Caenorhabditis elegans: one gene and its partner. The protein of the gene in region 2 interacts with the protein of the main gene of each other region in a pairwise test. Each region holds a gene or a part of one and is shown on either strand. Other genes may lie near its edges.

Evidence for each region. Proteins that work in one complex are often made in the same cells at the same time.
Region 1: the proteins of Y48G9A.7 (region 2) and R166.2 interact in a two-hybrid assay, tested with the Caenorhabditis elegans proteins (one large-scale study listed by BioGRID).

The regions. Positions count from the first base shown.
Region 1 is NC_003280.10:10,533,534-10,540,116, forward strand, and holds R166.2 (Cleft lip and palate transmembrane protein 1 homolog), read right to left. Parts: upstream 4,139-6,583; 5' UTR 4,138-4,138; coding exon 4,015-4,137; intron 3,963-4,014; coding exon 3,828-3,962; intron 3,775-3,827; coding exon 3,679-3,774; intron 3,632-3,678; coding exon 3,494-3,631; intron 2,729-3,493; coding exon 2,600-2,728; intron 2,546-2,599; coding exon 1,505-2,545; intron 1,201-1,504; coding exon 1,006-1,200; 3' UTR 799-1,005; downstream 1-798. Other genes in the region: R166.3 (AMMECR1 domain-containing protein), read right to left, coding at 4,393-4,440, 4,961-5,230, 5,276-5,375, 5,427-5,501, 5,690-5,799; Pre-rRNA-processing protein pro-1, read right to left, coding at 6,016-6,583.
Region 2 is NC_003281.10:2,108,104-2,113,316, reverse strand, and holds Y48G9A.7 (Late embryogenesis abundant protein D-29-like), read right to left. Parts: upstream 2,769-5,213; 5' UTR 2,762-2,768; coding exon 2,683-2,761; intron 1,516-2,682; coding exon 1,357-1,515; intron 1,000-1,356; coding exon 917-999; 3' UTR 849-916; downstream 1-848. Other genes in the region: Y48G9A.11 (C2H2-type domain-containing protein), read left to right, coding at 105-229, 764-823.

The sequences.
Region 1 (6,583 bases), on a different chromosome or scaffold from region 2:
CCTCGTGATCTTTGCAACACCTCCCGCTGGTCGGTTTCCTGTGATTCTCATTAGTTTTCGAAAATTCTCTCATTCTAAACACGCTCTATTGTACCCCACAAGGCGGGAATTTGAATTTAAATTTAAATTCCCGCCCCCTTCGCTCGGAGTCATATAATTTCCTTCTCTTCCTATCACTTTTTTGTCTAGTTTTCAAAAAACCCCCCATTTTTCCGGCGGTTTTTCAAAAACCAATGCCAAGCTCTCATATAATGGGAGTCTAAACACAGTTCGGTTCCAAAACCAACGCCCACGGCCCCGCCCCCAATTAGATAATTTAAATATAATTTTTTTTTCCATTTTCCAATTTTTTAAAAATATTTAATATGTTTGTCTTGCTCTATTGAGAAAGAAATTTGAATTCAAAACTGAAAAACTTCAATTTCGCATCCAATGCATTGCAAGTTGATTGCTTTTATAAATTTTTGGGTCTCGAAGCGAAAAGCCCATAGGATTTTCACAAAAATTTTGCATTTAATGCAGTGAAAATTCAAAAAATTCAAAGATTTTTCTGAATAGATCAAATTTTCAAATTTTCCGGTCATTCGAAATGGCCTAATTTGCTCCAAAAATTTGAATAATCCCGTCATTTTTTCTTTGAATAGTAAAAAAAAGATTTTCTAAAAATTGCCTAAATGTTTGCCACACTTTCAGTCCATTTTATTCACAGATTTTTACAACTCTACTAGTCTCCTCCACCCATCACCACTTTCTCCCCAAAAATGTTTACATGGTTCTTATGCACTTGAATTGTAACTATTTTTTCTAATAAAGAAAAGTTTATAACAAATAAATTAAAGAATTCAAAGAGAACAGGAAATATATAATTGAGAAGTTCAGGGGATTTAAATCTCACTAACGACTGGAAACAAAAAGTAGATGGGGAGATGGACGACAAGTAAATCGGAAGACATGATTCCCGTAACAATAGTTTTGCTTTAATATATTAAAAAAATCAAGTAAATTCTACTTTGTCTTTTTATCTTCTTTTGCATGCTCTGAATTTGGTTCTGATTCATGCTCGGGCTCCTGGGAAGGTTCAGAAGATCCTTCTACGGCCGGCGTCGGCGCCGGTGCTCCAGTTTCCTTCTCGAGGCTTGTGCCGAACTCGTTCAGTCGAGTTGGATCAATGCGATACGCCCAGCGTTGGTAGAGGTAGATCTGGAAATTTTAATATTATTTTTTAATTAAAGTTATTTTGGTATTATGGGGACGCAGAAAAATGAGATTTTTGAAATCGATGTGCACGCGCGCTCCACAGCAATAGATTAGTTGGTAATTTGGCAGCAAATCCGTGAATTCAAACGTTTTCAATTAGTTTCACCGATTTTCAAGAATTTTTCGTTCTTTTTGGCGAAATTGTGGTTTTGAAATAAAATTCCAAACGAGACCCAATACTTTGGGGAGGAGCGTTTTTAAAAGTGCAATTTTCTGCGTCCTCATAATCTATTCGACATTTTCTCACCAGGAAAATGATATCATCTCTGAAGCAACCAATTCTGTAGAGCAACGGCATCCGGATCACAAACGCGAACAAATCATCAATAAACGTATTGATGAATTTGTAAGTGAGCATACGCCACGGCAGATGAGCCACTGATTTGAGCTTGTAGTTAATGAACAGCTGAGGTGTCATGGTAATGAATCCGAACGTGAGCAAGAATCCATAGAGCATATTGAGTACCCAGGAGTACCATCCTTTTTGCTCAACGTAGATTACAGAATAGATGGCATATCCGACAAGAAGTGGGAAAAGTGCCCATCCGAGGTATTTGAATGCCATTTGATCGTAGATCTTCGTCTCACTCTCTACATATGATCCTTTATCACTGATAACCAAACGTGGAATCACTCCGAACCATTTGTTCTGCCAGTCGATGGATACATTCATCACCTTCGGAATCTTCCAGCATTCAATGAGCAAACCAATTCCAACTGTAACTTTCACCATTGTATTTGTCTCATTATCACAAATATAAAGGAAAACAATCAGTGATTGGAAGATGTTGAAAAGCACAGATCGAACTGATAATCCGACGAGATCTTTTCGATTATTCCAAAATTGAATGTCATTCTTGAAAGCCAAAAACTCGAATACGGTATGTAGAAGTGAAACAATCATAGTAACTGCCAAAAGGATTGGATTAGTCTCTAGAAGTGCTTGTTTCATAGAATCATGGCCATCATCATCCATATCTGCACCATCCATAGATAACATTGATTGCCATTGAGACTGCATCCGCTGACTTGCGTACATTTGATATTTGAACACTGACATTGGATAGTAGGTAATTGTCAAGTTAAGATCTTTGACAGTTTCATTGATCGGTTGATAATCTGCTCCGAGATTCCACCAATTGTTATAGAATAAAATAGGCTTGTAGATGGTTCCGTCTTCATTAAATTCAATATCTTCACTAAGTGGTGGTGGAATTTGGCCACGAGCCCATGGAGTTTGATCAACGACTAAAGAGATTGAGATGTTTGGATGCCAGTGATTGAGAACCTGCAAAAATTGACAATAATTCCAAAATTTTCGATATTTGTTTAGATTTTTCACCTCATATTTCATAATCTGAGCTTTGGCAAGATCCTCATCACTCTGCTCACTCTCACCAGTCAACAAGTTTGAAGTTTTTCGATAATACTTCTTCTTGTACTTGTTCAGCTGATATGATTTATAGATGATCTGAAATATATATTTTTGAAATTTATTTTAATCTTGAACTAATCTTCTTTTTCTTCTTGATAATGTTGGTTTTTAAATTTTTCACAAAAAAAATTGTGTTTTTAGATTTTCCAAAGAATCGAAAATTGGTTTTTTTTTTCGAATTTTCGATATTCTAAAAAAAATTTAAAAATTTCAATAATTTCCGGTAATTTCTCTACTTTCCAAACATTTTTTTCCAAAAAATTCCCAAAACAAACAGAGACTGTTTGAGTTAAAAATTCCAAATTTTCAATAATTTCTATGTTTAAAAAAAATTATTTTTTCACATAAAATTCAACATATTTTTGAAAAATCTATAGAATCCTCGTGTCGGGTTTTCAAAACAATCGGAAAATCCAAAAATTTCAATGTTTTTTTTGTATTTTTTCGAATTTTCGTTTTTTGAGAAAAAAAACAATTTTTTCAAAAATTTCCGGCTAGTTTTTCTTTTTTTTTAACTGAAAGTCTACCTACATATTTTCCACAAAAAAAGTTTACAGTTTTTTTTATGTTTAATTTTTTTTAATATTTAATGATTTTTTCGGTTTCCAGTTTTTGGAAACGAATTCAAAAATTAATTGTTATATTTTTTACATAAAAATTAGCATATTTTTGATAAATCTATACAATTCTCGTACAATTTTTTTAATTAATCTAAATAATTTTTTTTTTCCAAATTTTCCAGTTTTATGTTGAATTTTTAAATTTTAGATTTAAAAAAATGAAAAATTTTAGTTTTTTTACCTGATTCTTGAAATAATTCCGATCCTTGGGATTCGGTGATTGGCCAGCTTTAACGATGAACGTGTGAAGCCAGAGGGAATCATTACGGAGCAATGCAGCAGGAGTTGGGAAGTTTTTGTGAATTGTGTGACTGCCGTCCTAGAAAATACGAAGTTAAATTAATTAAATCTAGAGAATTATCAAACTTCATTATCACCACTAATCCAATCATCATACTTCATTCCATTTCGCATCCAAATCAACTTTTCTGGTGCTGAATCGAATTGTCTGAATGGGAGATCCTGAAATTGTTGGAAATTCCGATATTTTCAACTTTTTCTCCAAGTCAACTAACACTATCATCCATGTAAACGTATAAATCAAAAATCTGATGATTTGGGAACATATTCATCGCTTTATTTCCATTTCCAGCAGTAGATGCTGTCACATTTCCATCATTTCCAGGCGACGACGATGGCCGGAAGAATCCCTTCAATTTTTTTGAATTCATTTTTCAAATTAAGATGTCCAGATCAACTTACAGAAACCATGGAAACTACGAAATAAATGGTGATTGCTTGCTTGATCATTCCCCAAATTCCGCCACCTTGCTGTGGTTCCGGAGCTGCTTCGGGAGCAGCTGCTGGTGCAACTGCGTCGGCCATTCTGTGAAGATTATGAGAGTGGTTAGAAAGTGGAAAAGTTGCAAAAGCAAAAAGTGGTGAAAATAAATTGAAAAGATAGTGGTTAGTGCGGTTAGAAACACTTAAATATTTTTTCCAAACGGATTTCAAAAAAATAGAAATTTATTAGATTATTTTAGATATTTTTACAGAATTTTCAGTTATTATACAGTTATTTCAATCATAATACAGAATATTTTACAGGAATTTGAAAGAAAAATACATAGAAAGAGATCATTAACGTGGTAGTGGCAGTCCGTGCGATTGTTTGTAGTTTACATAATCCTGAAAATTAGAGAAATTGTATATAAAAAATATTTTGAATTATTTCGGACAATTTGTGCATTTAATTTTTGATAGAAAACACGAATAATCATGAGAAAAATCGAAAAATTGCATAAAATCCAGAAAAAATTAATTTACTCATTATCCGAGAGGAGTACATGGCCGATAATTATTTCTCGGCCGTGTACTCCTCTCGGGCAATTAATGAATTAATTTTTTTGGATTTTAGGCAATTTTTCGTGTTTTCTCATGATTTTGCTTGATTTTTCGAATTTTTTTGTTTTCGAACAAATATAACATTGCGTTTTACATTAAATAGCAGACCAATAACGCTTTAAAACCGTCATAACTTCTGTTATTTTGATGAAAACTATCGAAAATACGAAAATATGTTTAAATTTTTTAATTTCTAATAGAAAAACACAAATACTATCATGAGGAAATGCAAAATCGCTTAAAATCCAGAACAATTAATTAATTAATTGACCGAGAGGAGTACACGCCGGATAATTATATTCACCTTATAATCCAGAACAAGTTTGGAGCTTTGGAAGCGAACAATTCGAAGTGCTGACCGAAGAGCATCATTAATATGTCCTCCGTATCCACTTTTTCTTATTAAATGATCAATTGTCTCCACATGATTCCATCCTTGTTCTTGAGCTACTTCCGGCAAGAAAACGGCACTCCGATTGCGATGACCATCGTCGAAATTCATTCGAACTCCATGACGACCGATTGTCCAGTCACGAAAATTATGAATTGGCTCGAAGTTTATTAGAAGAGAAACCTACAAACTTTCATTTAAATGCAATTTAAAAGTGAAAATACTCACTCCGCACTGCAAACTTGGAACTTCTTCCCGGCTAATTGGCTTGAATCGTGAATCATGGAAAGCGCTGGTCTTCGCATATTCGTTTAACCCCTCACCCAATCTGTAATAAATTGGATTGTTGAATAATGTTTTAAATAGTGAAAAACTCTACCTTAAATCAGAGAAAGTTCCAATGCATCCGCGTAAATCGTGTTGATGTCCCTTCTTCCATGTGACAAATAGTGGTCTGGAAAAAACGAATTTTTATTTGAGAATTGATTAAACTTCGATTTTTGATTCGTACTATTTAGAGGTGGTCGGTCGGCAATTATTTTCTGCAGTTCTCATTTGTTTTATCAGAAATTAATGTTAAAATATAGAAATTAACTTGATTCATTAACGAAATAACGGGGATTTTTCTGAAATCTTGCTTACAATTTTACATTAGGGATCTCTTTTGGCACGGGAGGTTCCTTCTCTCGATTCAATTGGGCGTTGATGACGTCAAAGCAGTAAACTGCCATTTGGATGTTAGCGGACGTCATCTGGAAGTATATTTGAAAATTTTTAAATATAAATTAAATTTATAAAAATATTTTTCAGGAATTCAACGGACCAATTGACCGATTATTGATATTTGAAAATAGGTTAATTTTGAAGTTTCTTTAATCAATATTAAAACAAAAACAACAGAAAAAGATCAACAGCAACACCAATAACAATGTAACAAATAGGGAAAAGCAAGAATAAAATTAAAAAATCTATTTTTCGCTATCAACAATCTCCTTGGCAACAAATTCGTACATTTGTTTATTGATTTCCTTGAGCTTCTCATTTTCAGCTTTCAAAGCATCAAATTTCTTCTGAAGCGAGGAATTGACTTCTTCTTCGTCATCAATAACAATCGGTTCTACTTGTTTCTTCTCAATAACTGCTGCTTCAAAATCATTTTTCTTTTGATTCTTCCTATTCTTTTTATTCTTTTTTCCACTTTTTCTTCTCTGATTTCCAACTTCTGGTGCATCATCTTCATCATCTCCAAGAGTAATGATATTTTTAATTGTATTTTCTGCTGCTTTTTCTGCTTTTGCAGCTTCATTTCTAGCAGGTCCTTCGGCGTCCCATTGTAATTGTGCAGATGATTTGCTTCCAGATTCCAACAAAAGTTGATCAATAGTTTCTTCAATGACGTCATTCCAATGCTTCTGATCAGAGTTAAATTCAGTGGATACTTCAATTGCGAAACGATCGCATTTTGTAGGTTCTCGTTTCAAATCCCAAACTGGACGAAATTTGGCGACGTGTTCTCCTCCGCTGATCGTTTTCCAG
Region 2 (5,213 bases):
AAAAAATATTCAAAAAATTTAAATTTTTGAATTTCCCGCCAAAAAATATTTGAAAATTTGAATTTTTGAATTTCCCGCCAAAAAAAAAATCAATATTTTTCCAGAAAATTCAAATTCCACCGATCGTCGCTTCTACATTCGTCCGTATGAAATTCGCAATATTTCCGCAAAAATTCAAAAAGCTCGAGAACGTCACGGAGAGCAATTGGAGAAATTTGCTGTTGAGGAGGTGTGAAAAATCGATATTTTCACTGAAAAATCGATAATTTAGGCTGAAATCGCGTCGAGACCCTAAAAATTTGATATTTTCAGCAAAATCCTTTAAAAAAATCAATAATTTCCGAAAAATCGATAATTTCCAAAAATCTGTAATTTATGAAAATATTGATATTTCTAAAAGTAGCAATTTTCCAAAAATCGATAATTCCTAAAAAAAAATCGAAAATCCCCAAAAAATCGATAATTTCCGAATAATTCGATAATTTCTAAAACAAGTCGATAATTTTCAAAAAATCGATTTTTTTTTTGAAAAATCGATATTTTCCGAAGGAATTATCGTCATTTTAAAAAAATCGATAATTCCTTCAAAAAATCGATAATTTGGTGTCGAAATCCTGTCGAGACCTTAGAAATTATATTTTTGTGGTAAAAATTCGGAAAACACGATATTTCTAAGAAAAATCGAAAAATTTCTAAAAAATCGATAATTTTCGAAAAATCGATATTTTCCTAAAAATCAATAATTCAACATTTTTTTTTTCAGATGGATCTTGAAACACTGACCGATGTGCCGCCATTCGTCGCCAGCGAGGAAATTGTCTAAATTTATTGATTTTTAAAAAATTTTGTTTCAAATTCAATTTTTATTGATTTTTTCCTCGAATAAATTATTTTTTTTTACAATTCCAATCAATATTTATCCAGATCCCATAAGTTTTTCGTCCAAATCACTTGCTCCATTCTTGACAGCTGCTCCGGCGTTTTCAACGGTATCAATAACTGAAAAATTGAAAATTTTTGAATTTCCGGGGTCTGCAAGTGCGCTCCAATGAGAAATATTTTGGAAATTGCCGAATTTTCGGTTTTTTCAAGTAATTTTTGTCTTCAAATATGAAACATTTATAGAACTACAGCTAAGAAATGCAAATGCGCTCTATCGCAAAAAATGAGTGTTGCAATTGCGCTCTAACGATGAAAATTCTTTAAATCACTGGTAACTCAGCTAGTTTTTGAGCATTTTCAATAATTTTTGTCTTAAAAATTGGACGACTGCAACAGCTGGGTTGCAAATGCGCCCCGTTGGACTGCAAACGCGCTCTAACGACAAAAACCTCTGATTTCAGAGCTAAAACTCACCAGATTTACCCACATCTCCGGCAGTGTCCCAAGCAGATTTTCCGGCATTTTCTACAGTGTCACGACGTCGACGGGATCCCGTTTGTGAGTGTAATTCGATTGGGCCGCCCGTAATATTCCCGAAAAGTTGGATGGTCTTGTTTTCCATAAGAGATGGAGCTGAAAATTTGAATGTTCGCAAAAATTCTACAAAAAATTTGAATTTCCCGCCGAAAACCAGCTGTTTTAAAGCAATTTATCAATGGGGCGCATTTGCTGCAACATATATACGAAAAACATTCATATATTTCCGTCAAAAATCATGAAAAAACTGCGAAAACTCGAGATTTTAAGAATTTTGTCAATAGAGCGCAGTTGCTGCAGTGTTGCTTTGCCAGTGGAGCGTATTTGCCACGTAAATTCAAATTTTCGAATATTTTTTGCCGGGAAATTCAAATTTTCAAATATTTTCTGGTTTTGGGGGGAAATTCAAAAATTCAAATTTTCAAATACTTTTTCGGCGGGAAATTTAAATTTTCGAATATTTTTTGGCGGGAAATGCAAAAATTCAAAATTTTTAATATTTTTTGGCGGGAAATTCAAATTTTCAAATATTTTTTGGCGGGAAATTCAAATTTTCAAATATTTTTTGGCGGGAAATTTAAAAATTCAAATTATTTTGGCGGGAAATTCAAATTTTCAAATATTTTTTTGCGGGAAATTCAGATTTTCAAATATTTTTTTGCGGGAAATTCAAATTTTCAAATATTTTTTGGCGGGAAATTCAAATTTTCTAATATTTTTTGGCGGGAAATTTAAATTTTCGAATATTTTTTGGCGGGAAATGCAAAAATTCAAAATTTTTAATATTTTTTGGCGGGAAATTTAAATTTTCAAATACTTTTTGGCGGGAAATTCAAAAATTAAAATTTTCAAATGCTTTTTGGCTGCAAATCCAAATTTTCAAATATTATTTGGCGGGAAATTCAAATTTTTAAATATTTTTTGGCGGGAAATTCAAATTTTCAAATATTTTTTTGCGGGAAATTCGAAAATTCATATTTTTAAATATTTTTTTGGCGGGAAATTCAAGTTTTCAAATATTTTTTGGCGGGAAATGCAAAAATTCAAATTTTTAAATATTTTTTGGCGGGAAATTCAAGTTTTCAAATATTTTTTGGCGGGAAATGCAAAAATTCAAATTTTTAAATATTTTTTGGCGGGAAATGCAAAAATTCAAATTTTTAAATATTTTTTGGCGGGAAATTCAAATTTTCAAATATTTTTTGGCGGGAAATTCAAATTTCCAATTATTTTTTTGGGGGAAATTCAGATTTCTCAACTTACGCTCCATCGGATCCAAACTTTGCCCGAAAATTCCATAAATTAAAGTTAAAAATAGTGAAAATGTTATAAAAAGTCTCATTTTCCAACAGAAAAGTGTCAATTTTTCAATGTTTTCCGCATTTTTTTTATAGTCGAGCCTAATCCGAATGTTTTGTGTGAAAATCGTGTTTTTCAATGGGTTTTGATCAGATTTGGCGGGGATCTGTGTAGTAACCAAAATATGGTTATTGATGTATTAATAATTTGTCATTTTAGTGCAAAAAAAGACTTTTTTTTCAAAAATTTAAAAATCCAAAAAAAAAAAGAAAATTCAACAAATTTTTTATTTTTTTATTACAGGAAAATTCCAAAAATCAGAATAAAAAAAGCAGTCGAAACTAGAAACACTGAAGATGACGCCAAATTGCACAATGCATCACGACAGCAGCACCATTTCACACCACGTCTCTGATAACACCTGAGAAAAATTGTAAATTTGTGGATTTTTAGTTATTTTTTGAAGAAAACTATTGAAAAATTCAAATTCTACGCCAAATTCTAGCCTTAAAATCATGTTCTCAGGCATCGGGCGCGAAATTTGAGTTTTTCAAAATTTCGCAGGGGTTACTGTAGCCCCGAAAGTACGCAAACACCGATAACCATCAAATTGGCTAAAATTAAATTTATATGGTAAAAAACTACGGAGAACACGAATTTCATAACGAGAAGCCTTGAAAATATTCTAAAAAAAAGTTCCTGCTTTGGCGGGTTACTGTAGCTTCAAAAGTACGCAAACGCCGATGTTCACCAAATTGGCTCAAAATTAATTTCTAGAGGTGAAAAACTACGGAGAACACGAATTTCATGACGAAAAAGCACAAAAACCTACCCTGGCTCCGATTCGGTACAATAATCAAAAACATTAGTGCAGCCACGTGTCTCATTGTCAAACTTGATGCACCATAACTCAATTGCAGCACAGTTTTGGGTCTGAAATTCGGGGTTATGGCCTGAAAATCCGAAAAAATCTGAAAAACTCACCTCCAAATTAGTATCGAAGCATTTTTTCGGAAAAGCCATTGAAAATTGCGAAAAGCAGAGCAAAATTAGCAGGAGAAATTGGAATTTTTTCATGAAATTGCTTTTTCGTTGTTGTTGTAAAATTACTTTTTATCTGTGATTTTTCCAGCTAAAATCATCTTTTGAAAACTCGGAAATTCTTGGTTTTTCCACGTAAGAGGTCAAAAATTCGGTTATTTTTAGATTAGTTTATGCAATAATCATTATACGTAGATAAGGTTAATTGCCACTGTGAGCAGCGGTAGTAAAAAAAATTTTATTCGAAAAATACATGCTATTACCTGAATATAAACAAAAAACTAAATGAAAAAAAATTGAAAAAAAAATTTATAAAATTTTTTTTTGAAAATTTTTCCAAATTTTTTTTTCGCGTCGAGACCCATTTCTGGAAATTTTCATTTTCAAATTTGAACTCAGCTCACCGAGACCTTTCAAATAACCCCCAACATGCCTTTATTCCGCCGACTTTAATAATTTTGGGTCCCACCACGAAAGGGTTACTGTAGTTCTCGTGGCGGGACCCATATAGTGTTAAAAATGGCGGAAAGTAGCCGATATTGCGGTCATATTGAAGCTCGCGATGAGCTGAGTAAGAAAATTGCACTAAAAATTGAAAATTCTGTTGAAATTTCGGAAAAATTGGGAATTTTCAGAAATCTGAATTTTTATTTTTTTAAATCGTCAAATTCTCAAATTTTTTTTGTAAATTTTTAAAAATCGGCATCAAATTTGCATTTGCCTTGCCGGGAGCTTTCAAATAACCTATATTCCGCCGACTTCCAGGATTTTGGGATCCCACCACGAAAGCCCACGGGGTATTGTAGTTTTCGCGGCGGGACCCAAAAAGTGTTAAAAATGGCGGAAAGTAGCCGATATTGGGGTCAAATTGAAGCTCTCAGTGAGCTAAAGAAGAAAATTGCCATAAAAGCTAAAAATCAGTTAAATTTTCAAAAAAACTGAGAAATTTCAAAATTTTTTGGATTTTCTTTTTCAATTTTTTGTAAATATTTTGAAATCTTGAGGCTGGAAACGTAATAAATATTTTTTGGCGGGAAATTCAAATTTCAAATTTTCAAATACTTTTTGACCGGAAAATCAAAATTTAGATCTTTTGGCTTTTATCGTACGCAGTTTGGTCTTGATGTTCGGATTTTTTCGCTTTTTTTTGCAATTTTATAGTTTTCCCGTATATTCCTTTGGCTGCTTTTATTAAGGGATAATTGAGTTTTTTTTTGGAATGAAGTTTTGCATTTTTGCTCTTTTTTATCATAAATTGTTTTAATCCTTAAAAAAAAATTTAAAAAATACTAAAAAATTAATTTTCTGGATTTTTTTTGCAAACTTTTGAAAATCGGCAAAAAATCGACTCTAAATTCGTATTCAGCTCACCGAGACCTTTCAAATGACCCCCAACATGCCTATATTCCGCCGGCTTTGAGAATTTCGGGTCCCACCACGAAAGGGGTACTGTA